Arabidopsis thaliana: one gene and its partners. The protein of the gene in region 2 purifies or fractionates together with the protein of the main gene of each other region. This does not show direct contact. Each region holds a gene or a part of one and is shown on either strand. Other genes may lie near its edges. The genes, in order: AT2G18900, EMB2765, MEE5 and ATRPAC42.

Evidence for each region.
Region 1: the proteins of EMB2765 (region 2) and AT2G18900 fractionate together in Arabidopsis thaliana (co-fractionation; one large-scale study listed by BioGRID). This does not show direct contact.
Region 3: the proteins of EMB2765 (region 2) and MEE5 fractionate together in Arabidopsis thaliana (co-fractionation; one large-scale study listed by BioGRID). This does not show direct contact.
Region 4: the proteins of EMB2765 (region 2) and ATRPAC42 fractionate together in Arabidopsis thaliana (co-fractionation; one large-scale study listed by BioGRID). This does not show direct contact.

What each region holds. Positions count from the first base shown.
Region 1 is NC_003071.7:8,187,718-8,194,167, reverse strand, and holds AT2G18900 (Transducin/WD40 repeat-like superfamily protein), read left to right. Parts: upstream 1-1,631; 5' UTR 1,632-1,758; coding exon 1,759-1,878; intron 1,879-1,954; coding exon 1,955-2,140; intron 2,141-2,227; coding exon 2,228-2,416; intron 2,417-2,517; coding exon 2,518-2,923; intron 2,924-3,058; coding exon 3,059-3,177; intron 3,178-3,273; coding exon 3,274-3,351; intron 3,352-3,490; coding exon 3,491-3,631; intron 3,632-3,724; coding exon 3,725-3,769; intron 3,770-3,852; coding exon 3,853-4,019; intron 4,020-4,197; coding exon 4,198-4,276; intron 4,277-4,362; coding exon 4,363-4,439; intron 4,440-4,535; coding exon 4,536-4,665; intron 4,666-4,750; coding exon 4,751-4,883; intron 4,884-4,966; coding exon 4,967-5,133; intron 5,134-5,218; coding exon 5,219-5,381; intron 5,382-5,462; coding exon 5,463-5,677; 3' UTR 5,678-5,931; downstream 5,932-6,450. Other genes in the region: AT2G18910 (hydroxyproline-rich glycoprotein family protein), read left to right, coding at 37-280, 573-670, 1,099-1,152.
Region 2 is NC_003071.7:16,204,422-16,212,426, forward strand, and holds the start of EMB2765 (P-loop containing nucleoside triphosphate hydrolases superfamily protein), read right to left. Parts: upstream 6,008-8,005; 5' UTR 5,833-6,007; coding exon 5,416-5,832; intron 5,337-5,415; coding exon 5,247-5,336; intron 5,046-5,246; coding exon 4,983-5,045; intron 4,738-4,982; coding exon 4,651-4,737; intron 4,562-4,650; coding exon 4,409-4,561; intron 4,317-4,408; coding exon 4,180-4,316; intron 3,986-4,179; coding exon 3,751-3,985; intron 3,575-3,750; coding exon 3,464-3,574; intron 2,971-3,463; coding exon 1,912-2,970; intron 1,824-1,911; coding exon 1,566-1,823; intron 1,081-1,565; coding exon 895-1,080; intron 789-894; coding exon 1-788. Other genes in the region: AT2G38780 (cytochrome C oxidase subunit), read left to right, coding at 6,431-6,881, 7,090-7,424, 7,792-7,944.
Region 3 is NC_003070.9:1,898,233-1,905,423, reverse strand, and holds MEE5 (Ribosomal protein S5/Elongation factor G/III/V family protein), read right to left. Parts: upstream 5,474-7,191; 5' UTR 5,317-5,473; intron 5,192-5,316; exon of another isoform or gene 5,128-5,191; 5' UTR 4,995-5,127; intron 4,913-4,994; 5' UTR 4,901-4,912; coding exon 4,160-4,900; intron 4,074-4,159; coding exon 4,005-4,073; intron 3,901-4,004; coding exon 2,707-3,900; intron 2,596-2,706; coding exon 2,497-2,595; intron 2,384-2,496; coding exon 2,225-2,383; intron 2,109-2,224; coding exon 2,023-2,108; intron 1,939-2,022; coding exon 1,740-1,938; intron 1,662-1,739; coding exon 1,551-1,661; intron 1,460-1,550; coding exon 1,253-1,459; intron 940-1,252; coding exon 841-939; 3' UTR 527-840; downstream 1-526. Other genes in the region: AT1G06210 (ENTH/VHS/GAT family protein), read right to left, coding at 6,438-6,821, 7,002-7,191. UniProt on the Arabidopsis thaliana protein: Splicing factor involved in pre-mRNA splicing and component of the spliceosome. Essential for reproduction. In female gametophyte, is necessary for the egg cell and central cell fate determination and hence reproductive success.
Region 4 is NC_003070.9:22,397,409-22,402,167, forward strand, and holds ATRPAC42 (DNA-directed RNA polymerase family protein), read right to left. Parts: upstream 3,006-4,759; 5' UTR 2,877-3,005; exon of another isoform or gene 2,760-2,876; 5' UTR 2,748-2,759; coding exon 2,613-2,747; intron 2,312-2,612; coding exon 2,123-2,311; intron 2,041-2,122; coding exon 1,911-2,040; intron 1,824-1,910; coding exon 1,743-1,823; intron 1,652-1,742; coding exon 1,464-1,651; intron 1,366-1,463; coding exon 1,270-1,365; coding exon of another isoform or gene 1,180-1,269; exon of another isoform or gene 1,157-1,179; coding exon 1,063-1,156; intron 978-1,062; coding exon 861-977; intron 768-860; coding exon 670-767; 3' UTR 505-669; downstream 1-504. Other genes in the region: AGD2 (ARF-GAP domain 2), read right to left, coding at 3,836-3,950, 4,028-4,473, 4,612-4,702.

The DNA of each region.
Region 1 (6,450 bases), 8.0 Mb from region 2:
TTCTCTTTCATTTTCTCTCAATTTAACACTTTCAAGATGCCGATCAACAAAGACCCATCAACACCTCCTCCTGTTATCGGAAAAATCGGTCCTTACACTGTCTTTATGACTCCTCCTGCGACTCCTAAACCACCTGAATCTCCCTCCGCTGTGTCTCAGAAGCCTGTGATGGCACCACCGGTTCTTCCTCCGCCGCAGCAGTTTAAATCGGTGGCTTCTTCTGACCAGGACGGCTCAGTTTTGGGGTTCTTTAAAAACGCCGTCACAAAGGTTCAAAATGGTGAGAAATCTGATAAACAATTAACTGATTTTCAGCTCAAAGTTTCCTCATTTTTAGATCTTGAATTTGAGATTGATTTTTCCGATACCCTTTGATTGATTGATTAGGAAATTGAACTCAAAAATGATATAAATCGTTGTAAAGTTTCTATCTTTGTGAAGTGATTGGAAAGTACTAATGTTACATGAATTCTAGCTTTTCATACTGTTTATGTGATTTGGTCCTAAAAGCAATTAGATTGTGAATTTGACATTCATGTTGTGTGTGTGTGTTCTAATCCATTTGACTACAGCACATTCAAGTGTGGATGATCATTTGGTGAGGTGGTTTGGGTTAAACCAATCTAAGTATCAGTGGGCTTTGGATGAGTACTACGAAAGCAAAGAATCAGTAAGTTTTTTTTTGAGTCTCTATATGTTTCCTTTGAGTCTCTATATGTTTAGTTTCTTGTTCTTGCGGGTCCTGTATCGTTCTTTGTACTAGTTTCTATCGATAATCGATTCCTTTAGTCCGATTGATTCATCAGCTTTTTGTTTCATGTACATTTTGCGTAAGCTTAGAAGTAAAGCTAGTTTAAGTGTTTTTTTGCTCTTTGCTTCTAGGCTAATGAACATAACAATATACAACCAATGAAATTGATACAACATATTTGAAGCTTGATATTCACTCAATATCAGTTGTAAAAATTGTTCATTGGTATTTGGTAGTCAAAAATGTCATTGATTGGTTTTAGAGTTACTACTCTCTTTAGTCATTGATTTGCTTATGTTCCTCAAGTAAATCTTGTAGTTAACACATATCTTTTGAATCGAACGCAGGATATGAAGACCGTGAAAGCAAAGGAGATGCCGGGGAAAGTACAGAGTGTATAAGCAACCATGTATAAACTCATTTCCCCTTTGGCCAATTCTAAAATCTGTTTTTCTGAGAGAGTTCAAAAAAGCTTGAGTCTTGAGGAAAGTTCTCTTCAGATGATATTTAATCTTAGAGATTTCTTTTGGTATATTTCAAAACCTATGTAGTAGCTCTTTCTAGTTTCATCTAACAATGGTGAAATCTCCAAAGCAAAATGGAGAGATGTCATTGGTCATTTGGTTTGTTGTAAGTTTAATCACATTATTTACTTTTTAATTGTATCGTTATAATCTATATATTGTCTCAATTCAAAAAAGTTTGCTCAGTGTTTTTCTTTTGATTGTTGTCATACATGAAAACTTTTGCTAGATACCTCTCAAAACTTCAATAATTATCTTCATCAAACCTAACAAGGCCCATTACAAAGGCCCAAAAACATTATTGTTTAATATTTTCCGATTAAATAAATAGATAAAAACTGAAATGTAATTGAGCAGAAAAAAAAACAAAAGAGACGAAGAAGGGTTTAAGTTAGGGCTTTTGAAGTAAACCAATTTTGTGCGTCTCCCTTTTCTTCTTCTCTTCCCAATTTCACCGCCTCTCTCTATCGCCGGAAATTAACCATGAAACGCGGCGGAAGAAGCTACGTAACTTCACCTCCATCATTCTCCAACGACGCTAAAAAGCTTCTCGTCTGCACAGGAAACACTGTCTCTGTTTTCAGCGCCGCCACTGGCTTACAGGTACCAAAAATTTAATTCTTCTTCGATTTTGTTAGGGTTTCTATTCGAATCATTGATTGATACATTTCTGTTTTAGATTACTTCGCTTGAAGGTCATACAGCTCCAGTAACAACTCTAATTGTTGTTCCTGCATCAAGTCCTGCTCAAAAAATCCTTTGTTATTGTTGGACTGCTTCTCTTGATGGTACTATTCGTCATTGGGATTTCTCTGGACCTGAGCTATTGAAAACTATTGATGCTCAGCTTCCGATTTACTCTATGGTGAGTATAAAAAAAGTTTGATACTTTGATTAGGTTTTGTGAGTGTTTTGTTTGATGAAATGAATCTATGTGTTTTGTGTGTTTTAGGTTATACCATCTCTTTTGAGCGAACCTCAACAAATTGATAAACGTCGTGAGTTGTCTGGTAAGTTGGTTGCTTATGTTTCCGTTGAGGATATAAGTGTGGTTAACCAAGGGTCTAAAGAGTTGCGTGGACATATCCGAAGATTTAACCTCGCTAAGTCGCGTATTCCTCGTGGAGATACTTTAAAAGAGGTTAGTTTTTTTAATGGACTTATTTGAAAGAGGTTTGTCTTTAATGTTGTCTTGAAGTTGAATTGTGTAAGCTCAAGTTATTTGCTTATTTCTTTGTGTAGACGGCAGAACCAGAATCTATTGTTATTAGTCCCTCGGGAGAATTTTTCGGAATCCGTCACAAGTGTAAAATTCATATATGGGATGTTCCTTCTGGAGGATCAAGGCATGCGGTTTCAAGGAAGATGACATTACATCACACAAAGGTTATCAATGCTTTTGCTTTTCATCCCACGGAGAGAGTTATAGCTGCTGGAGATGTAACTGGAAGAGTGTTGATTTGGAGAGGATTTGGTAATAGAAAACTTGCCTTGGGTAATCAAAAGAAAAAAGTGAGAGCCATGGTTGATTTGGACAATGCTGGAGTGAGAGGTGAAGATGATGCTGAATCTTGCACTACATGGCACTGGCATTCTGCTGAAGTTAATGTCCTTAATTTCTCTTCCGATGGAGCATATTTGTATTCAGGTGCGGCCGAGTTATATTCTGATATCCATTGGATTTATGAACCGACATAGACTAATAGGTCATGAGCAAATTTACTGTTTGAAAGTAATGTCCTGACTTCTTACTCCATATTGCGTCTGTTTTCTGACTCTTTAGGGGGAAGGGAAGGGGTACTTGTCGTTTGGCAGCTAGACACAGGGAAAAAGAAATTCTTACCAAGGATAGGATCCCCCTTGCTGTATTTCATGTGGTCTCCAGATCCAACTCTTTCTTCTGTAAGTCGGAGCTTACTCTTTCATTCTAATCTAACACACAACTGCTGAAAGCAAAAGGGAATGTTTTACTGATTTGACTACGAATGAGAGCTGCAGGTGGTTTGTGCAGATAATCAGATCCATTTGCTTAAAATGCCTTCCATGGAGATCTTAAGGACCATTTCTGGAATCAAGGTTCGTCTTGGAAACTTAATAATTAAGGACCTGTAATCATTCTCGTCAGTTTTGTCAACGATTCTAGGATTCTAGAAACTCTCGCAACCGCTTTACCTTTTTCTTGGTGTTTACTTCAATGTGTGTTATTTTGTTACAGCCTCCCCCATCATTGCCTAGGATGTATGAAGGCTTGGCTAGTACTGTTGCCTTTGATCGATCTTCTGGCATAGCTGCTTTGTGCACAGAGAATTATTGTGTACAGCTATATAATCTTCTCAATGACCGGGGAATTTCAGAGGTTAGAATTTGGCTCCAATATATCCTTAAGAAACTCTATGCCACTTTCTCCTGTCTATGAAATCTCTAACTTCTTTAATCAATGCTTTTGCAGATTCAAGTTTGTGAGAGAAACCATCAACCAGGAGATGAGATCACAGTAAGTACATTTCCTTGCTGTTTATTTGATAGTATATCTAAGATTATTTTCGTTTGGGTGATAATTTGAGTAAACGGTAATAGGTTGTGGTGACAGCGGTTGCTCTCTCCCTGGATGGCTCAGTGATGAGTACAACCGAGGTGAAACTTCCGGAAGATGGAATAGGAGGCTTAGTGTCCCTCAAGTTTTGGGCGTCTGAACCAGACAGCAAAACTTTCACCTTATCCACAATCGTATATGAACCTCATAGGTTAATATTTCACCCTCTGCTAATGGATAAAGCTTTATTTTTCACCATTACCCAATTTTCTTGTCATGTTTTATTTCTTGTAAACCTTGCAAACATAGATTTCAATTTCTCTTATTTAGTCTACAAACTGTTATATCCTTTGCAGAGAGTAAATTTTATTTTCCTGTATATCTTACAGGGATGCCGGTGTCTCAGCCATTGTGTTCCACCCTACCCGCTCCATGGCAGTGAGTACATCATTCGGTGGTGACTTCAAGGTAGTTCTTAAACTGATTTTACATTTTTCTCTCTGTGTTTTTTGTTTGTTATTATTGTCTTACTGATATCACTTTTGCTGTTTCAGATTTGGGTATGCAACAGTGACAAGAACCAGACGGATAAAGACTCTAGCTGGATATGTCACGCTGTTGGCTCTTATAAGTAATAGCTTCTCTACGCGCTAGGAAATTTCAACATTCACAAATTATTCGCCTTGGCGATCAAATTTATATTCTCTTGCCTTTGAATATTTTCCAGGAAGAAACCAATGACTGCTGCTGCTTTCTCTGGGGATGGCACTGTTATGGCTGTTGCGGCTGAGAATGTTATTACACTGTGGAATCCAGATAAGAACATTCTCTTGTCTGTTCTAGGATCGACACTCACGGTAAAACCTATGAAGTTATCCCTAAAAAAGCTGGAACCTTTTTCCATAAAGACCAATGTTTAAACCTCTCTATATATTATTACAGCCTATCACGAAGCTCTGTTTCGCTGGAAAGTCTGAGTTCCTTGTTGCTGCATCCCATATTCCAAGACCTGAACTATCTGTTTGGAATACATCAAAGTTATCTTTATCATGGTCATATGGGTTACGCATAGAAGGTCAGTATTATAATGCTTCTTTGATTTCCCCATGAAAACTCTTGCTGTGGTTTACTTAGAAAATGCTTGTTCTCGTTCTATAGCTGTCACCTCTGCAGTGGATTCGTCAGCATTTGCAGTCTTGGCTGTGATCCCAAAAACTTTTAAAACAGATGAATCTAAGGAGAACATCTTCCGTGGTAGAGATGGTGCCATTCTTTTGTTTAACGGATCAGATCCCAAGCCGGTATCTATATGGACTGTGATGAAGGTATGACATAAGAAATAGCCCGTTAGTATTTAACCTTGGAGAGACAGGAAAGAATCCAACGAGTTAAACAATGTCTAAATTGCAGGCTAGGGGAGGATCAATCTCATTTTTAGAAGGAGATAAGTCTCAGCTTCGCCTTGCATATGTAAATGGAAGCCATGAATATGTTGTCTTTGATCCCAATAGTGATGAGTCACATGAGCGTAGCGCTGTTGACTACGATGGTCTTGCTGGTCTGGAAGAGACAGGTAGTTAAAACTTAAAACATATTTGAAAGAACCTTTGTTGATTATACCATGTTACTAATCGAAAAAGTCTCAACCTTTTAGGAGACGCCGGGTACACATCCTTATACGGGCAGTTACCTGATTATGACAAGAAGAGAATGGAGGATGTTGAGTCGTTGGGAACACCGTTTGTATCATCAGAAAGACCGTGGGAAACAATATTCAGCGGCTCCACACTAAATTTCCCGCCACTTCAGAAATTATGTGCTGAGTTCTTTGAGTCCCTAATGGAGAAAAGAACGGCCGTTGTGGAATGAGACCTTACACAAAAAGTTTTTTGTAAGGTTTATTATACAGAAGAAGAGCTCATTTTTGCAGCCATCTTTGGTGAGCAAAGTTGTTGAGTTTGTTCAGGAAATTTTGTAGCTCTTTGTTGTGAGATTCGGTCCAGTTTATTTATGTTGTTGCTACTCAAAAAATACAGGATTCTAACCAATTGTGCCATGTTTGACCCAAAAACGAAATGAAATATCACGACCTGCCTTTTTTTTTTTCGTTTCTAAAATACGGCATGCATTTATATATTTTAATGCAAATTGTTCTTGAAATCATAATGAGATTTATTATACTGAGGGTGCTTCGTTTTTAAATTTGAAAAATGTTCATGAAATCGTTATATATCCTTAGTGGAAATAAGCAAAATAATTTGGGGACTTTTTACTTTTGCTAATAGATTCTCAATAATTGTGAAACGAGTCAGGTGCTCCTAACCCACCAAAAGAAATTATTCCAAAATCCAAATATTTCAACTAACACCTTGCATTATTTTATTTGAACTTTGCTTGATAACATTTTGCATTATTAAGTTGGAAAATGGGAATACAAATAGATATTTCATATTTCGTGATTCGAGGTTCATCTATTATATATTTAGCTCTTTTGGTGGTCCAATATGTTGAGCAAATTATTCTTTAAGTACATGAAAAAGGTAATTGCTTTGGGGACACTTACCTTTTTATTTTTATTTCCACATGCATGTAGGACAATAGTTTGCAAGGTTTGTGTTACGTCTTCGAAAAGCTTTCTACTT
Region 2 (8,005 bases):
TTGAGCTCAATATAAGGAATACCAAGACGAACAAACCTCGTAAACAAACTCTGATCCATGTGACTATATTTCTGGAAAGCCATATTCTTCACCACGGGAGGCAGCTGGTGGTGATCACCAATCAATATACAGCGCTTGAGTCGTGCATGACCATCTTCTTGCCTCTGAAGCAGCATTGGTATGAAAGTCTCAATTTCCAAAATCTGAGCACTTTCTTCCATCAATAAGTTATCATATTTGAACCCTAACTGAAGAAAATCTCTCCTCTTTAATGCAGCATGAGTACACGTCATTGCTACAATCTTTGCTTGTTTGGTCATCAGATAATTTGCTCTATCAGCAGTTGACTTGAGTAGTTCAAAGGCCCTACACTCTTCTAGCTCTTGGAACACAGTCTTGAGATGAGAGAAACAACCTTTAGCTGCCCTCATGTCTTTCTCAAATGACTCCCCATTAAAAACAGGTTTAGGGGTGTCTGAGAAGAAATCTTTGAACGGGAAGCGATCTCGCACAAAAGATTGATTGTCTTCATTTCCTGCACAAGCTGCGAGAAACAGCTCCCAACGCGAGTATACATGAAGCAACCAGAAATATCCAGCTGTTTCACAAGTATATCCTACATCCTCTGGAAGCTGAAGAGATCTTGCTAGTCTCTCAACCTCACTGAGGAGTTCCAGACGCCGAACAAGCATGGCATTGACACGGCCTTGTCTGCTAAAGTCAAGATCAGTGGCAAGCTCTTGTTCACCTTGACCCAAACGAAGTAGATACCGCGCTGGTACATCCCTCTGAAAAAAGATCCATGTAGCATTTGACTCTCAGAACTCCGTCAAACATAAAACATTAAATATGACTCCATATAAATAACAAAAGCAACGAAGATGCCAATAGTACCTCCATTATCTTCTCAAAAAGATCATTCAAAGCCTGATTTGAATGAGTGATTATCAATGTCCTCTGAGAAGGACAGTTGTGGTATAGAACATTCAAAATTTGCACTGCTGTATCAGTCTTTCCGGTACCTGGTGGACCAACCACCATAGTTAGCCCAGGCTGAATACCAGAGATAATTGCTCCAACCTGCAGGAAAATAGTAGGCATGGACATGGTTTAGTTACAACTTGCAACAATGATCCATATTTTGAATCCATACCAAATGTTTTGGTATATTTTCTCATTCTCATCCAAACCACCATGAGGGAGAAAGTGATTTGAACATTAGGTAAAACTTTCTTCAAATAAAACAGAATGATGTGGGAACAGTATTGACCACTCAAATCGATCAATGACCAAATGATTTACGTTACGATGGAAATAACAGGTGCAAAATTTTACATGGGTTATAAGTGTCAGGTACCCAACACAATAAGGCGACATAAAGATGATGAATAGTATTCTCGTATGACATAACTCTTCTGTAAAAGTAGGAAGGATTCTAAGATAATAAATTTGTCATCTTCCAAAACAAATAGCAAGAATGACGAAAAGTTGACAAGTATAGCACAGCACAATTATATAAAAACCAAATCAGCATACTGCACTTAGGATGTAGAAATAAGTAGTACCTGTGTAGGTGTAAATTTAACTGAGTTCTGCTTCGGCTGGTCCTGAGGATAAGGCCCTGGGTCAGGTGGGGTATATGCCTCAACAATAAGTTTCTCCTTCGGGGAAGCATCCACCATATTAACATTATCTGCTGGATTCACTTCAGATATCTTGTTTCCAGAAATAGCACCATTTCCTTTTAGTGTCTTTGGAAGAGTGATTCGAAACGGAGGACTTGGATCCAGAGCTTCAGCACCTTCAGCATTGATGAAAGAAACCTAATATGCACAAATTATTAGAGACATGGAAAGGAACTAGTTCTAGTCTTCTAGATCACATCATATACAAAAGAATATAGGTACTAACCTCATAATCTGAAAAACTTTCACTGAGATGATTTGCATTAAGGAAAGTGTCTTTGAAGTCCACTATTTCCAACAGGTTTGGCATATTAGGCCACTGTGCAGCAGAAGGGTTGCCATACCCAAGAAAAACATTATGCAACCACTCCGGCACAATACAATATTCGTTCATAAGATCTCTGATAGATTCCAGAATAGCCTTGAAGTTGTTCTCTTTTGGTTTCCTCCTCATTAGCACATTAAATGTGCCATACACATCCTCAGCACCTTTTTCAGCGATGTCTGTAACATCTATATGATACTGTGCAGCATCTAAAGCGACAGTCACAGTCCTCATTTCACCTTTTGGGGGCTTCCATTCATCCCGTTTAACTCTTCCAGTAAAATCATTCATCAGATTACCCTCCTCATCGCGGATATCGATGATTTCACAACCACGAACATACTGAAGCCCGAGCCTCTGTGGAACTGTAGCTTTATCAGCTTCCTCAGGACCTAATGGCTCAAATGAAGGGCGTATACAAAGCAAAAACAACACGTCATGCTCTTTAAGGGAATTCCATTCAGATCTTATCTGCGTTCTGTAACTCTTGATACTGAAAGTAACTTCTGCTGTCACAGATGAAGGCTTCTCTTCTCCAATATTAGGCTGTTTCACCTGAGCGATTTTGAAATCATTAATAGGAACCGCCATTCGTGACCAACCACGAAAAGCAGTGTCTCCCTCGTTATTTATATGTGCAAGAAGATGTGGTACAGCTTCTTGTATATCTTCACGAATCTCATAGGTGGATTCTAGACGGAAGAGGTTGAAGTTTCTAAGGAGATAATCATGGAGTGTTAGAAACTGAAGATTAAGCTTTGGAAGAGCAAGGCAACCTTCCCCAGAATAATTAATGCTTGGAATAACACTTTCGTCCCACATGATTTGCTCATTTGGGTACAAAGGCAGAGCGTTTATTGCTTCTTTCTGAGACTGTTGCTTCTCAAAAGAGGAGACAACGACTTCAGTCAGAAAATCTTTACTATCTGCCCAAGGATCATGTCTTGAAACCAGTTTGAGCTGCACAAAAGCAAATGAAAATGAGAACCAATGTAGGTGGCAAGGTGTATAATTGTTGTACGTGAACTTCTAAGGCAACAAAAGTATATTTTAACGAAAACTAAAATTAGCAACAGCAAGAGGCAAATACAGTTTACATATCTCCTTTCTACTCTCCACAGGCACAAATACATCTCTTCACTGATTTCTCACACTACTCTGCGTACTACTGTAATGGCCTAAAGGGAATTCAAACAAGTAGATACATAACGTCTACATTTGTGTCAACCCATAGATCTTTTAGCATGTCAACTTAGACTTTGTATTCTGATTTTGCTAAGCATTTTGCCAATAATATTCACTGAAAGCTCACAACTATAAGAGCCTTAGCATAATGAAACTGGCAGAAAAGATATGATCATCATAGAATTGCCTCAGCAATATTCCATAATCATATCCTGAATTCCCATGCAGAGTTTGTGAACCTACAAGAATATGCTTTCCAGATATATACCTTTGAGCAGACAACATCCCTTAAATCTTCAAGAGAAAGCACAGACAATCTCCTCCGAAGATCAGAACTCTTGTGAATCGAACCAATGTTAGCCAAAGACAGATCTTGCAACTGAAGCAAACCAGATAAAAACAAATGTGAGAATCTAGAGAAGCGTTTGCCAAAAAATATTAGAAAATAAGGAAGAGAGTAGATCAATGACTTCAAAATCCAATAGTAACATAACAAAAATACCTAGTACACAAAACTACCTATCTATTAATTAACCATGATTACCAGGACAATACCTTAGGTATTTTCTTAAAGGCAAGTAGCTGAAACGCCATAAAACGATCGTAATGAAATTGAAGTGCTTCATCATCAGTTAATTGTGTTCCATCATGATCCTTTATCTCAAACTTTTCGTAGAACTGTAACAAGTCAACTAGTTGGGCGAAAAGCTTCCCTTTTTCATGTTTGTATAGGGCACTCAGTCGACATTTGGCAACAACTGCTATATCCGCCACAAGAGGTCTTAGGTATCTGTAATAATCAAGATGAAGAGATGGAGAAAGGAAAAATTAAGGTCCAGTAAATGAATGGCTCAGAAATGGACAGTGTAGAATGAGGAAGCGTAACAAGACTAAGACCTAGATATTATTAGGAACAAAAAAAAACCCTAGATATTTTAGTCTACAAAAAACTTGCATAGAGGCCCTGGAGGGAAATATTAATACCTTCTTGTTGGAAGTTGGTTCAGCATGTCAATAAGAAATTCCATGAATCTCTCACAATATAAGACAGAAGAATCATCGACCAATTGAGATCCAGCAGTATCATCAACCTCATCCGCAAAAACCCCATGATCAAGCACCTGAACAGAATGTTATGAATTATGCGTAACTATGCGAAAGATATATTTGACGAACATAGACCACTACAACCCAATAAAAACAGGCTATATACCTCAACGAATTCTTCTATTAGGCCTCGAACAAAATTTGCTTCAGGGGATGAGGATAAATCAAATTTCTCTCCCTTTGACTTTGCCTCAGCTGCCCATTTCTTTGATGACCTCTTCCACTTTTTAATTAGATCAGGTTGAAGGCAGAGCTCCATCTACAGTTGTAAAAATCAATGACGATATCAGAGCAACTACAAAATATTTTCACCATCCTTAACAAAATCCATGTGAAGGAAACACCCACCTGGAAACGTCCATAAGACAAGCTGTGCCAAGATTGTAATCCTGCTAGACTTAGAACAATCTCATTAACCACTGCGTCTTCCAAACTCTGTAACATCACACAGTTAAGAATATTGAAGAAAAACAAAATAGCACAAGGATATAATTTGTGTACAAACATGAATAATAAGGTTTTCCACGTGAAACAAACAATTTACTGAGTAGCACACAGCTATATTGTCTGCAATTACTGCTTACTATATCATGTATTAATTTTCTGATCTGAAACAGGCGCAACAGCATTCTAAATACTTACGACCTATTCAAAAGTTACATGCAAGAAACGGAACAAACCTGGAAAGCATTAATCATGAAGACCAAATAGTTTGTCTTCTCAGCAATAGTCAAGTCTCTTCCCTACAATGGTAAGCAAATGATATATAAATATACGATTGGTTTAGCAATGGCTAATTATGATTTATCACTATGCCTCCAAATATATAGCGAAGTCAATTCCAGGCATAAGACAATGTTATAAATCACAGGTACAAACCAAATTATCACAAACAGGAACAACACTAGAATCACAAAAACTAAAACAACAGGTAGAATACAAACCTCTTTAAGGCGAAGAACCTTCTGTAGAAACTTTTTGAATAGATCATCCCGATCATGAAAGCAAATCCAAGCTGCCACATTCTCCCGGAACTACAAAGCATGTAGCAATGTTAAACTCCACTGTTTACAGCTCCAACAGTCCAATACGAAAGAGAGCAAGATTAGTTACCTTCTCGTTAATCATAAGAATCATAGACATAACATGCTCGAACGTAGCAGTCTCAGGATCAAAATTCGGCCATAGATAGTTCTCCAAATACTGACTCACTTCCAGAATCATAACTCGCTGAAGTGGAACAGGTTTACGACCACTAGTTACCTTAAGCTCCGTCACATAAATCTCCTTCACAACCTCCGGATCGAACGGTTTCTCAGGGAGCTTACCTCCAGTCTTAATCCAGCTCTCCTCAGCGATTTTCGTTAACCTATCTTGCTGAATCTCCGATAAAGTGATGGAGCTCGGCAAATTAGATCCAGGCTTTGACTCTAGAGGCTTCTCAGCAGGATGGCTAGGTAACTCCAATGGATACTCCGCCACTCTGTGGCGCTTGAAGTCGTACGTGCCAGTTCCATAGACCTTCGTCATTCTCTCACGCGAAAGCTTCTTGCTCAGAGAGAAGTGAAATCAACACATACAGCAAACGAAGAGGTTCAGAGAAGGGATTTAGAGTGAAGAAGAGTAAGATTTTTAGGGCTTAAGCGGAGGTGAGAGTTTCATCGACGACGTCAAAGATAAAAGGCGGTTACGACCGACTCGACCCGACCCGAGTGATGCTAGTTTAATTACAGCTGGACTTGGGCCGATATTGGGCTAGAAGTATTTTAGTCTGGACTGGAACTAGAAATAATCTTAAGAGTAAAATTAATATAAATAAATAATGGTGAGCAAAAGCCAAGTAAACCGAATCGAACCAAAACTGAATTTCTTATGATTAAAAAACATTAAACAGTAATTTGTACCAAATAAACCAAACTAAAACCAAATTTATGCAATCGGATAACATAAAACTTTACATTCTTTTAAATTAGTATTTTGATTTAAAATAAAACAACTTAAATATGAGTGTGCATAAAAAAAAATTGAACTGAGCCAAAATAAACGAATTCGAATCATAATTGATCAATCTAAACCGAATATAAACCGAATAAAACGAACTGTTTATGCGCTCTAGTGACCAAGACCAATGATGAAATGGATGGGTGGTGATGTTGCATCCACGAGTCCACAAGTCTGTGAAAACATTGCACTCCAAAAATGGCTAACCAGCTCTTCTCTCCACCAAACCATGGCTTCTTTCAACCACTCTTGGCTCTCTTCTCCACTCACCGAAACTCCCGCTTTCTTTTTTTCTCCATCTCAACACCCAAAATCCTTGAAACTCTCACTTTTCCGAACTCGGAGCAACTCGTCCTCACCGGACCGCTCGTCAGAGGTTGAGCTCGATGTGGATCCGGTGAAGCTCGCATTGAAGAAAGCCGAAGCTTATAAGAAATCGAAATCAGAGCAAAAAAAACCAGAGAAAAATGCCGGCGACGAGGAATTGCCGCTCTCTGTTAAGGCTGCTATGCAAAAAGCCAATGATTATAAGAAAAGGAAAGGACTTGGAACTGATGCTGTCGCAAAAGCTAAACCCAGTTCAGTAAAAAATCATCTTTTGCACAAAATTCTTGTAACTGTCTTTGCTTGAGTTTGTAGATCAATGCACTTTTCTAATAGTCTTTAGTACATCATTCATGTGTTTTTCGTGGCCTGTTCCTTGAAAAGATTGGTTTTTGATTAGATTTAGGAGTAAAGCCTTGATTTTTAGCTGTATTAATGGAGAATTGTTCTCATGGGTTTCAGGTAATACAGATCAAAGTTTCGTTAGATTAGCAAATAAGGTTGTTGAAGATAATGATGTTAAGAAGAAAGAATTGAAAGTCTCCAGCATTGATTTCATGGGGCTTGGCTTTGCTGATAAGAAGAGCACGAGGGGGCTTCCAGCGGGACTTGTTCCTGTTGTTGACTATCTTCCTGAAGGAGACTTACCTGAGGTGGAGTTTATTGTTGGTGATAAAACAAGATTTGCGGAGAAAGTAAAGGAGGTTGAGCAAGAAGGAGATGGAAACTCTGATGTGTATAAACCCAAAGTTTCTACATGGGGAGTTTTCCCAAGACCTAGCAACATCTCTAAGACGGTATGTGACTGGCCCATCTAAAGATATGTGTTATGCAACTGGATTAGTTTTTTTCATAAACCCCCAAGAGGGAAGAAGTTGCATGTCCAATGTTGTTAAGTTAGGGTATATAGAGCCACTTACTCCAGATTATTAGAGGTAGGAGTGCCAGAAAGGTTTCATGGGTTTATTATTTAGTTCGCATACCATTTAGTCTACTGTGAAATATGATGCATCAAAAATGATTTGTTGGTTGTATTTTCCACATTTTGGATTGTTGGCTATAACCATCAGCTCTTAACTTCGATGGTTTTGGAGTGTATATTTTCCTGCTGGCATCTATGGTCTCAAGTAATGAGGATTGAGATATATACTTTTCTTGTTTAAGTTTGGTGGTGGAAGGACACTCCGACCGGGGGATTCAGTTGAGACCGCTGAAGAGAGGATTGTGAGAGAAGAAAAGACAAAAAAATTGCTCATAGCCTACAAGGAATCACTCGGACTGAACATTGATCCCAAACTCAAACTTGAGTGTGAGAAGGTACTCCAAATACATTTTTGTTCTTACAACTTTTCTGAGGGCAGACCTGATGCTGAAGTTA
Region 3 (7,191 bases), on a different chromosome or scaffold from region 2:
TGGTTGATGGAGCCAAATGGATATAACCAATGAAGATAAGGCATGACGTTTTCAGAGTTGGCAATGCACATAAAATAAGGTGGAGGAGACCAATCTAAAACCTTAAACGATGTATATATTAATCCACCAGGGCCTTAACTATATATTTTGTAGCTTTATTCTATGTATAATAAGTATAAGTGGTTGCCGCCACGTCCACTTCGATTTGTAAAGAGCACGTCAACGTAAAAAGCTGATTATGGAAGCATGAAATAGACGAAAATAGTAAAGCACAACAAATCTTTGAGACAAGTAGTGACGTTTGACGAATTAACCGATTTTCATTGGAGTAAAATAAGTCGTCTGTGTGCACTAAATTAAATTATGAAGAAAAACTTACTTATATCTAGATAGGTTTGTGCCATTGACCTGGTTTATCTTTAAATTTAGCATTTTTGAAGAATCAAATCTTAGTTATGCAGAAAACTCTTTGCGGAAATAGGATCTGGATCGTACGTTCTCTGTATCATATGTATAATTACTAATCATATAGACAACAAACTATGAGATCATCTTATAAATGATAGTGTCATAACCTAGTTCAGTTTCCCATAATCCAATAGTAGTTTACAATTTTACAAAAATTTGTGAACATTTCCTGTCAACTATTTGCGAGTCATGTGTGAGTGTGACCATGTGGACTGTTGAGTTCATTAAAATCTCTCAACTTACAACGTAAATTTGACACATCAATTACAAAACTGATCCACATTTTCTTGTTCTCCTTTCACATATATAGAGAAGAGAAGATACTACTACTAGTCCTGAATCACGATTTATATGAAAAAAGTGCAGAGATCATCAAATCATCTGCAGATGGAGATCGCCTGTTTGCTGGGCAAGCTCTACCATCATCGCTTCATCAAAGAATTTATTTCCGCTGACGTCTTCGCTCATTCCCTGCATAACCAACAAATTATACATATCGTGAGAGTCTGAAACTGATGATCCAAACACCCAACGAGTCATACAATATAACTAGCCTAGGATGTATCCAGCAAATTATAGCTGGTGTTACTTGGTTAAAGAGTAATTAGCAAGGGCCGGGTTTGTAAACAGTAGTTTCGGGGATCCTTTGGTTTGTGAGGGTTTACTGGGGTCATTTAACCAAACACTAGAGTAACAAATCAGTTTATGGTTTCATTCGTATCTTTAACCGCATGAAACCCACTAAGTTTTGGGATGTGCATTGAAACAAAGGAAATCATAATACCTTTCTACGGCGGGTCTTGACCATGAATTCCCGAGCTAGATGCTGAATAGGAGCGGGCTCAAGTGGGCGCAACTGGATGGCTTTGTCTAGAGGGTCTCCTGGCACAATGGCCCAGTGATCAAACACAGATAGGCAAAAGGCTTGTCCCTGAGTGTGGTACCTCAGATCTGTCTCAAACCCAAAGGACTCTATCACAGGCAGAAAGGCCTGCATCAACACCAAAGAATATACTCAATGAATCATCACTTAGTCAAATAACAGGAACAAAGTAAGGAGAAAAGACACAAACAAAACTAACCTTCACGATATAAGCTGGAGTACCGGGTTGAGGAACATCAGATGTGACATGCCCACGTCTACGTGACAAAACTGTGTAGATTGCAGTTACACAGTCGATTGGTGTTTGTATCTGCGACAAAACCATAACTCTTAGTTATCATTTTAAGAGAAAAAATGTGACGAGCAAAAATGGAAAGGGATTATGTACCTCCACATAGTAGACAGGTTCCATTAGCCTTGGAGTTGCCATTAGAAAAGCTGAATATGCAACACGTCTTGCTGTTGGAATCATCTGACCAGATCCTCTATGCAATGGCTCTGGTGCTATCCGTGCATCAACAATCTTGAACTTTACATTTCTGATGGGCTCATCACAGAGGGGACCTTCACGAGCACCCCACTGGAACCTGCAAGAGGAATAAAACGAAGCCACTTAGCTAAAGCCAACAAAATCGAGTAAAAGAAAAGTGTAACAGAAGAAAGATGATTACCCTTGAACAATGGAGTCTTTCACTGCCATCATCAAGTTCCTGTCCACCTCAGTTGGAAGGGTGTCATCCAATAATATGTTTGGCCCCTGATCAGTCGAAAATCAACAATCAATGAAATTGTCAAAACAGACATAAACCAACCATAACAATAAAGATAAAGTAAACCCCAGATTGCAGTGTTTTAAGAATACAAGCATTTCACCTGTTTGTCAGGGCCAAAAGCCCAGATGGAACGTGCAGCAAGTAAATCCCAGTCATATTTCGTCCTGAAGAAGTCACCAAGTTGTTTTCTGTTCCAGTCAATGCTTACAACGCCATTCTCAATGTCCTCTGCAAGTCCTCTATCCAATGGCTCTGCAATCTTTAGCATGAAACAGATATCAGATTTTTCACAAAGTAATTGTGCTTGAGCACCATACCAAACATCGCAGTCTAATATATAAGAGATAATAGTGGAAAAAGAAGATCTCTTACCATAGTTATTTTGTTCTTTTTGTTTGGTGTCTCAGCAAAACACTTCATCGACGAAGATTCAACCACTGTCTCACAGAAGGAGACCACCGGATCTGCAACCTACAAATTTAAGAAAGCAAAAGGATCTTAGCTATCAAACAGCCAAATCAGCAATTTGCTTGCACACCGGAATCACAGTCATAGAGCCAAATTAGAGATACAATTAGATACCTTTACTTCGACCTCTGAATAGAGCTCCCTGAGGTCCTTCATGATTGAATCCAAGTACAACTCACCTGTGCCTAGAATAGTATGTTCCCCAGACTCCTCAACTTTGGTAATCGCAAGGGGATAGCTTTTGCTAATTTTCCTAAGCCCTTCCACCATTTTAGGCAGCTCACTAGGATTCAAAGGCTCAGTTGCAGTCTTGACTACTGGGAGGGTATTAAATTGGAGAGCCCGGAATATGTAGACATCTTCATCATAGCTTGCATTACACAGAGTCGCAGTTTTCATGATGGATGCATCGACACCTTCAATTAAAACCCAGGAACCGGGAGGGGCACTGCTTACTGGTATTCTATACCTAGCTTGATATATCCATAGCTTCGTCACTTCTTTTATAGTCATGTCCTCCTCATCCTCAGGTGAATACCCTTCTCCTAGTACACGTACGCTTTGCCCTGTTTGAAGCCTACCACTATAAACTCTTCCAAACACATCAAAAACACTAGTATCTGATTTGGGGTACAACTTTGTCACATTAACCATGAGAGGTCCAGATGGATCACATTCTACCATTGATTCATAAATGGGGGAATCTTTGGTTCCGGTATATGAATGGTCGACCTTCCTAGCTGCAGCCTCTCTGGGTGAAGGAATGTGCTTTACCAACATATCAGTGAACCCTGATGCCGAACCAAACACTGAACTACAGGCTAACCTAAGTAGAGGTCTGACGTTCAGCTTATATGCACTATTACTCAGAGTCACTCCTAATTCTGCAAGGGTGGTCTCTACACTCTTCTTATGTTCACCTATCACTTGGCTGTATATCTTGTATAGGGGCTCCAGAATAAACTGAACAAATGCTCTTTCTCCACCACCTACTGGAGGACTTCTCTTGAATACCCTAGTATCAGAGTGATAATATACATCTCCCCAAAGTCGAGATGCAAACTTATCCACGTCCATGGCCACACCATGAAGCTTGGCATACATTTTAGCAAAAGATTGTAATGTGAAGGACCATCCGGCTGTACCACTGGCAAAACATACATTTCCAGCTGCAGGGTCTATAAGAGGTAAGTCTCCAGCAGTTGTTGAAGCAGCAGATATGTGGTTATTAATGACTTCAATTGTATGCCTCAGCTTGTAGTAAGCATCCCTTGGAGGTAGTTTGAGCTCAGTTATGAGCCTGTCAACCTGTTGGGGGAAAAAAATTGACAAAAAGCAAAGGTCAAGCAAATGTATGGAAATATAAAATTTCACACAGTATCTCTTAAGTTACACGTTGAAGCATGAAGTACCTTATTGATAACAACTACAATAGGGAGATGGTCCTGGATTGCATGCCGTATAGCTCTCTCTGTGTTAACCTGAAAAAAGATTATTAGCGTCAGTACAAATAGTATACTTCAAAAAATTAAAAATACAGACCAAAAAAGAGAGAGTAAAGACTTACCATCACTCCTTCAGCAGCATCAACAATCAGAACAGCACCATCAGCAAGTCTTAAAGAAGCAGTCATTTCGTCAGAGAAATTGACATGTCCAGGGGTATCCATGATATTGCACAGGTATGATTTGGATCTACTGTCCTCAAGGACAAGAGACATTGGAACCGCCTTGATTGATATATTTCTCTCCTGCTCATCGACTCGTGTGTCTGTATATTTCATATGCTTCTCGTTTTTAGCATTAAAAGTAGACATATGATGCGTCTGCTCTACCAACATATCCATGAAGACAGTTTTGCCGTGCTGTAGATGCCCCACAAGAGCAACATTCCTCACAAGCGCAGGATTAGACATGAGGCCGATAAGAAACTGTGTTGACACATACGTTGCTTGATCTTTGACCCCCACCTCAAATCTAATATCTCTAACAGGTTTGATAATGGGTTGCTCAAGAGGCTGCTCATCTTCATCCATAACCAAGGTCTCAACATCCTCACCATAAACCTCCTCAGCAGTAGGGTAGTACTTCTTATCCTCAGGAAGAACAATTTGGTTCTCCATCTCAACATCATTGATAGTGGTAATCCAGCCATTAGAACCCCCAGGCCCTTGTTCGCCATCGGAACCATTTTCTTCAAGATGCTTATCTTGGAGATCTTCATCTTCTACTTCATCATCACTATCTCTGTCAGACTCAATCTCAGGTCCAACATAGTTACCAAACTCATCATACAAGCTACTTTCCATCTTTATGTAAACCTGTCAAAAAAGAATCCCATGAGCAATCAGGATTTTGTAGCAGATAAACAATAACGGCAAAAAAGTCAAATGAGTGCATTACCACAAAATCAAGCTTTTGATAGATCTATCTGGGTTATTTACTATAGCAATTCTGCAACATATTTTATTTAACCCATTGGCGAGTAATCTCCTCTAATGCTCAACACCAAGTCCAAGAGAACACCATGAAAAAGCTAGAATCAACCAGAAACTTAAGGTAATTAGACTAGAGCAAAACCCTAGGAGAGAATCGAGCAGAAGCTTATGCTAAGTTGGACTAAAGAAAAACAACAAGGCGAGAGTCGAGCAGAAGCGTTGGAGTAGAGCAATAACCTAGGGTAGAATCAACAAGCTGAACAAAGTTAAGGAGTGAGAAGACGAACCGGTGGGGAGAGAGAGCGAGAGGCGTTGCGATAGCTAGAGGAAAATGCGAGTTGGCTCGGCAATAGGGTTTGTCGCCACTGAGACTGTTATCGCCGGAACAAGGGAATGAAAAATTTAGATTTAGGTTTTGATTGGAAGACTCTACGTCGGACAGAGAGTTTTAGTCGGTATATATTGATTAAATTATAGTAATTGAAATCTATTTGTAACGATGTGGGATATGTTGATGGGTCGGGTCCAATTATATGTCAATCGGCCCAATTTAGAAAAAATTGAAACGTCTAAACCAGAACGTAAACCGGGTTCACTATGTTTACTGCAGAAAAAATTCAGTAAAAGTTTTAAAAGATGTTTGCGTTTTGCGATGGATGAAGCAAAATTAGTCGTATGTCACTTAGGAGTTCATTTTAGATTGAAAGCTGCGATTTGAAGAAGATAGTAAGCATAACAAGATGGTTATAATGATTACATGAAGACAGTTCTTTACTCAAGTGTAGTGGGAAGTATCATATACTCTTCAATCGGTACAAGCCCTTATTTGGCTTTGTTGGTGACAGGGGTAAACTTTTGGAATATCACTGTGAAGCATCGTCCAAGAGACAGTGAGAAGTATCGTATAGACATATACTCTACAATCGGTACAAGACCTAATTTGGGTTCTCTAGTTGGTGATAAGGGTAAACTTTTGAAATATCCCTGTGTAGCATCGTCCAAGAGACCAAGACTCCGATTATTATTTGACTTGAGAAGACTAAACACATTAAACACATTAAAGGTTAGACTTCGTTTTATCATTTCGAGCGAGTTTATCGGAGAGTGAGGTGAATTTTATCAAGCCATTTATATAATCCAGAGGAGATGTAGATACTCACCTCTCAACACATAAGCAATAGGCTAAGTGCAAACCAAAACACCTCGTATAAATGTTTCGGGTGAAGATTCACCTACGGTTTAACAATGTCTAAGAAACCACTTTAAAACAGAAAGTGAGAAACGAAGCTAAAAAGGTTCCACACTTATAATGGAAGTACATTGTTATAATTTAAAAGTAAACCATCAAGAACAACTCTTCGCAACATTCTGATATCCATGTCGGAAGAAGACAACAAACACAGACTGCTTATTTTTCATCTTCATCACTCGAAAGCCCCAGTTCTATTTTCACGGCCTGCTTCTCTTCTTTGACGGTTTTGTTGGAGGATCCTGATGCTTCTGAATGTTTTTTGTCATCATCAGCACCCGTTTTCTTTACAGGCTCTTGTTCTTCTTGTTCTGTTGGTTTCGGACCAGTATCTTTGCTTCCTGATGATTCTTGTTCCACAATGGAGGCTTTCTTTTCGGTTTCATCAGGCTTCTTGTAACTAGATAAAACTTGTTGGAGCTCATCATTCAGATGCAGAGCCTCGAACAGGACTCCCTCGTCGTCTGTTGTACTCTCTATGATCATTTGAATCAATGGCTGCGATTGCTTGCATTTCTCCATCAGGCTAACCGTTAGATCGTCCTGTAACCATAATATATATAAACCTATTACTTATCACTGTCCTGTCAATTTCACTTTAAGCACATATATCCAAGGAAACAATAATGTAAACCAGGAGATACTCATAACTCAATCCATATTCCATAGACATTTGTTAAGGAAAATGACAAAAGTTAGATGAGCAGACAACGTAGCAACTACCTCTGTGTGATTTGGCTTTCCTTCAGTATTCAACATGCTAGAGAGCAATTCGAGGCTGTTCCGTGTAATCTCAATCTGTTCTTTCTTATCCTTTATCGATAAGTTCCCAAAGTTATAGTCAAGACCATCATCGTCCCCAAGAGCCTGTTCTTGATTAGGAACCGGATAGCTACCAGGTGGAGGCACTGGA
Region 4 (4,759 bases), on a different chromosome or scaffold from region 2:
TAATCAGTCTTACTATTAGCATAATCAACTGTTTATGTACTGATGTCTTCTAATTAGAAAACTTAAAAAGGTAAAGAAAAAATAGAAAAAGAAAGAGCTCAGTTAAGAGGCCATATCACCAGATAAACTGGAGAAATGCAAAGGACCCAACCTTTACAGAAACCGATTTCATCACAGCTCTATTGCACCAGCCGGGAATCGAACCCGGGTCTGTACCGTGGCAGAGTACTATTCTACCACTAGACCACTGGTGCTACTTGTTTAAATGTTACTTCTTCAGTTATTTATACATAAACTCTCATAGTTCATATTTAATGAGAACATTTTGTATAATCTAATGTGGCAGGGATCTATTCTACCACTGACGCTATTTTAAGTGTTCAATGAAACCAAAAACTACTATTACCAACACACACCTTGATTGGCACAATGTAAGGAATGGCGTCAGTGTTCTAGTGGTAGAATAGTAAAACCAAATTAAACCGAAGCAGATTTCCAAAATTGGTTCAGCTAGGAATTTTGTTATGAATCAGAACTCAGAAGGCTAATGAAAATCCAAATTGAACAACAACCGTATAAATAAATATGTCAATGTTGTTTGTTGGTAATTTATCAATAGGAGGAGAAACATTGATAGACAGACAATTCAAAATTGAACTAAACCAGAACTCAAAAGTCGGTTATAGCTTCACATTTAGCTTCCAATATCTTCACAGCTTCAGTGAAGAGAACCTCTGGAGGCAGTGATCCGGTGGACTCAATGTTAACTGAGAAAAAAGACGACAAGAAACTCAATTACGATATCTTTCAGATCATGAGTAGCAGAGTAAAAGGAATGGGTTTTATTTTTCTCTTCTTACATATAAAATGGTTCTTAACACTGCCAAGATCCACATGGTCTACCAAATCATCGTCTCTTACGCATTCCTTACACAATGTGCACTTACGTGGCTGCGCTACTGTTGCCCTTTTCTTACCTGTTTTCCACAAGTCAGTATGAAATCAAATTTAAGTAAGTCATGCAGCCAAGTTCATCAGCTTGCATAAGATTTTATACTTCACCTTTTCCCATGTCTTCAATGTCGAAAACATTCTGTGGGCAGACGTTTACAAGTCGTTCAGCAAGTTCATCCTCAACTTCCCCACGTAGAACCACCTAAGATAGTATAAACAAAAGCATTACGAAACATATATATTGGGATGAGGAAAGACAAAACAAAGAGCTGTTTCCCATAAAGCATATGATAGATTGATGTATATACTTCTCACCTCAGGATGCATTCTATACCAAGCAGTCCCTACTGGAGACCACTTTGCATGTGTTTTACCAATGCCCTTAACCGCATGAGCTTCGAGCTCGATTTCCTGGGAAAAAAGAGATAAAAGAAGATGCACATGTTTCATCTCTCATTGCAAGTATGGTCTGCTTGGGTGTATATAAAAAGAATGTACAGAAACACTACCTGACCAGGGGCGAGTTTTGCTATCAAGATATCGAGGTCGCATGGAGTGATAGGATTATTAGCAAATTCAGGTAATGAATCTTGGCTGCAACTGAATGAAGTGTAAGTTTTTGGCTTTGAGGTTTTATTTTCCGATTCTCTCAGAAGCTCACTTCCATTTGGTAACCATTTTAAATCACTCGTTAAAACTACAAGAAAACGAAATGATATCTTTCATGAGAGATGGAGCTGATAATAAAACAAGAAATCTTCTGATGCTAACTAATGAACATATATTACCTTTAAGACGTGGTCTATTTTTCGGACATTTCACATGGAGTTTGAATACAATGGTGTTCTTTTCATTCGCCTGATCATGTTCTATCATACACAGATAAAGAAGTAAGCTAATCAGAAGAATTATCATCATATGTAGATGGATCACATACCACTGAAATATATGCTTACCGGATAAATATTCAAAAAGTCTTGGATCTGCGGCAATTGGAATAAGACCCATCCTGTGAGCAAGAACTTCGTCTATAATAACCGATGTGTTGTACGCTATCAACACTTTTTCAATAGCCATTGAAGGAACCTGCAATAAAGAAAGAAGCACTTTAAGCCAAAGATTACAACAATGAGGGATTCATCAGAGGTTGTATGAAAACTTGACAGACCTCAGCTATAAGGATCCTTCGGAATGCATTGGCAAACGCTGCATCAATACCAATCATATCAAATTCCATATCTGTCTTTGTGAGACTAACCACATCAACTTTGAAGTTATCATAGAAGTTTCCTAGCTTCACATTGTCGTCCTCTTCCGTAGAAGAAACATAGGTACCCGAGTAAATGGCACTCGCAGTCTACAGAAAACACAAACACAAGATTAAAGACTTCAAATTTCAAACAATCACTACTCAATATCATCTTGAATTTGAAAACAAAAGGTGTATTCTGGTAAAACACTTAAGAGCCAAACTCGTAAATTCACAGCTTTTCACAGGAAAAAACAAAACTTTTACTCTGTATCATGAACACAGCAACGATAGAACTCAAACCCACATGGGATCATTGAGAAAAGCTATAAAATTTGTAATTAGATAAGCTTATAACCAACAAAACAGAGCATAAAAGATTGTAACTTTGAACGAGAATAGTTCTTACATGAGCAGGAGCGTTGTTTTTAGAGACGACACGAGTTTGCTGGGCTTTGAGATGTGGAGGAAGTCCGGCAGGGACGTCAGGGAGATCGTCTATGTTGAAATTTTTGGCGAATTGTTTTTCTGCTTTAGTCACCATCCTTGTCTAGGTCTATAGCAGAACTAGGGTTTATCAAATTGAGAAAGAGAATTGAAGGGTTTAACAAAGGAAACCACAGGGGGTGAGGAAAGTAGTATTGGGTCAAAGAGTGAAGTCGAAGAAGCTTACCTGTGGCCGAGAGAATTGAGCAATTTAGAGAGAAAGAGAGAGTAGGAGGCGGCGGCGAGGAGATGAAGAACAAACGGTGAAGGGTTTTGAAAAAGCCGCCGGTTTTATTTAATCCCTTAACTCTTTCCGGTTCGAATTAAAACGCATTATTACCAAAAGAAACAATAAAAAATTCATTTCAAAAGAATACTTCTTCTTTTTTTACATTTCAAAAGAATACTGTTTAACACTAAAAATAAAGCCATTACTTTAAAAAATAAAAATTTATTCCACAAGATGAATACTTTCTTTTGCTCATGATTTTGTTTTATAGCAAAAAACAATAATAAGAATTTATTCTTTTTCGGTGAATTGTTTAATTTAAAAAAAAAAAAAAAACTTTTCTGCAATCAATTCGCAGCATATTGGTTAAGCTAAGAATATAAACTAAAAACATATGTAAACAACAATTCTAGGAATGACTCCTTTTGTTTTTGGCATCTACTGTGAATGATAGGCTTTTTTGAACTCTAATTAATATTGGTCAAAAAAAAAATGTCGATGGGACTCTTCTACGTTAGTATCTAAGAATGTGGCAATAGCACTACTTAATTTAGAGCAAAATAATAGAAGAAAACACGACACTTACTTCATCAAATTTTTGTTGGGCAATGAGAATGTTGTCTATAATAAAGTTTCCGGCTACAAAACACATATTTGTATCTCGGATATCAAATACAGAAGAAGAAAAAAAAACTTTGAGGTGCAGGCTTAGAATCTTTGAGATCATCTTATGTATAACATTACAAAGGCTAATACAGTAGGTCGGAATCTTGACATTTCCTAGAGTTCTATCTCCTTCGGGAATTAGGTAAATATTGGAGCATCAATGCGATGAGCAAGTCATGACCAAATACTACAACAGTTACAAGTTACATTCCTTTGCGTAGCAATCAATCAGCAAATGGTATATTGGTAATTTACTGACACTCTGCTAATAGAAGGAAGAGCTCTTCATCGGTTATGGCTCCCATCTCCATTGCCCTTTCCAACACACTTAATCCTCCACCATCCTCTATTGATGGACGAGCACCTCTGTCAAATTCAAAGAAGAGAGACACTAAGTATCTACTCAAAGTGCCCCTCATGAGATTTATTAGTTAGTGTGTTACCTTCTCAGCAAAACCTTTGCAAATGCGTTGTTCCCTGATGCGATGCAATGGTGTAATGGAGTTCGTCCGTGGTAATCTCTCATGTTTATGTCAGCCCCGAACTGCAACAGCAGTTCAAGCAAGATTGGGTCACCGCTTTGACACGCCACATGCAACAATGAGCAGCCTTGAAGACAGTTTCTTGCTTCGTTCGAATTCTTGATTCTCTGACACGCATTTGGATCGTGCCTTTTCTTTACTTCATCTGGTGCATCAACATGGTGGTGGTGATATACATCAAGGTCAGTAATATCATCGAACTTGGTATTGATGATATTTGCATCTGCTTTTACAATGAGTCGGTAGATGTCTCTTATGTTCCTGCTTTGAACCGCTTCCCATATTCTACTTGAGGCAGTAGAATTTGCTTCTCTTTCATCTTTGACAACTAGTGCTTTCTCCAGGTACTAGCTAGGCATAAACATTATCAGCTTTAGTATCATAAGCCTTTTCTATTCACAAGAATATGCTCATTTGGATGATGCGTCAAGTGACATGAATCTGAGGTCTATGTATGCGAAAACTTTAAGAACTAAATCTCATACCTTTCCGTTAATATATTTCTCCTTCAGAGTAAACCAATCTTCTGAAGATGGTTTCGAAACTGATGCAAGTGTGTCTGTCGATCCCTTTTCACTGTAAATATTCAACAGAAGATAGGATCATAGGAAAGTAAAGATCACCAATCTCATG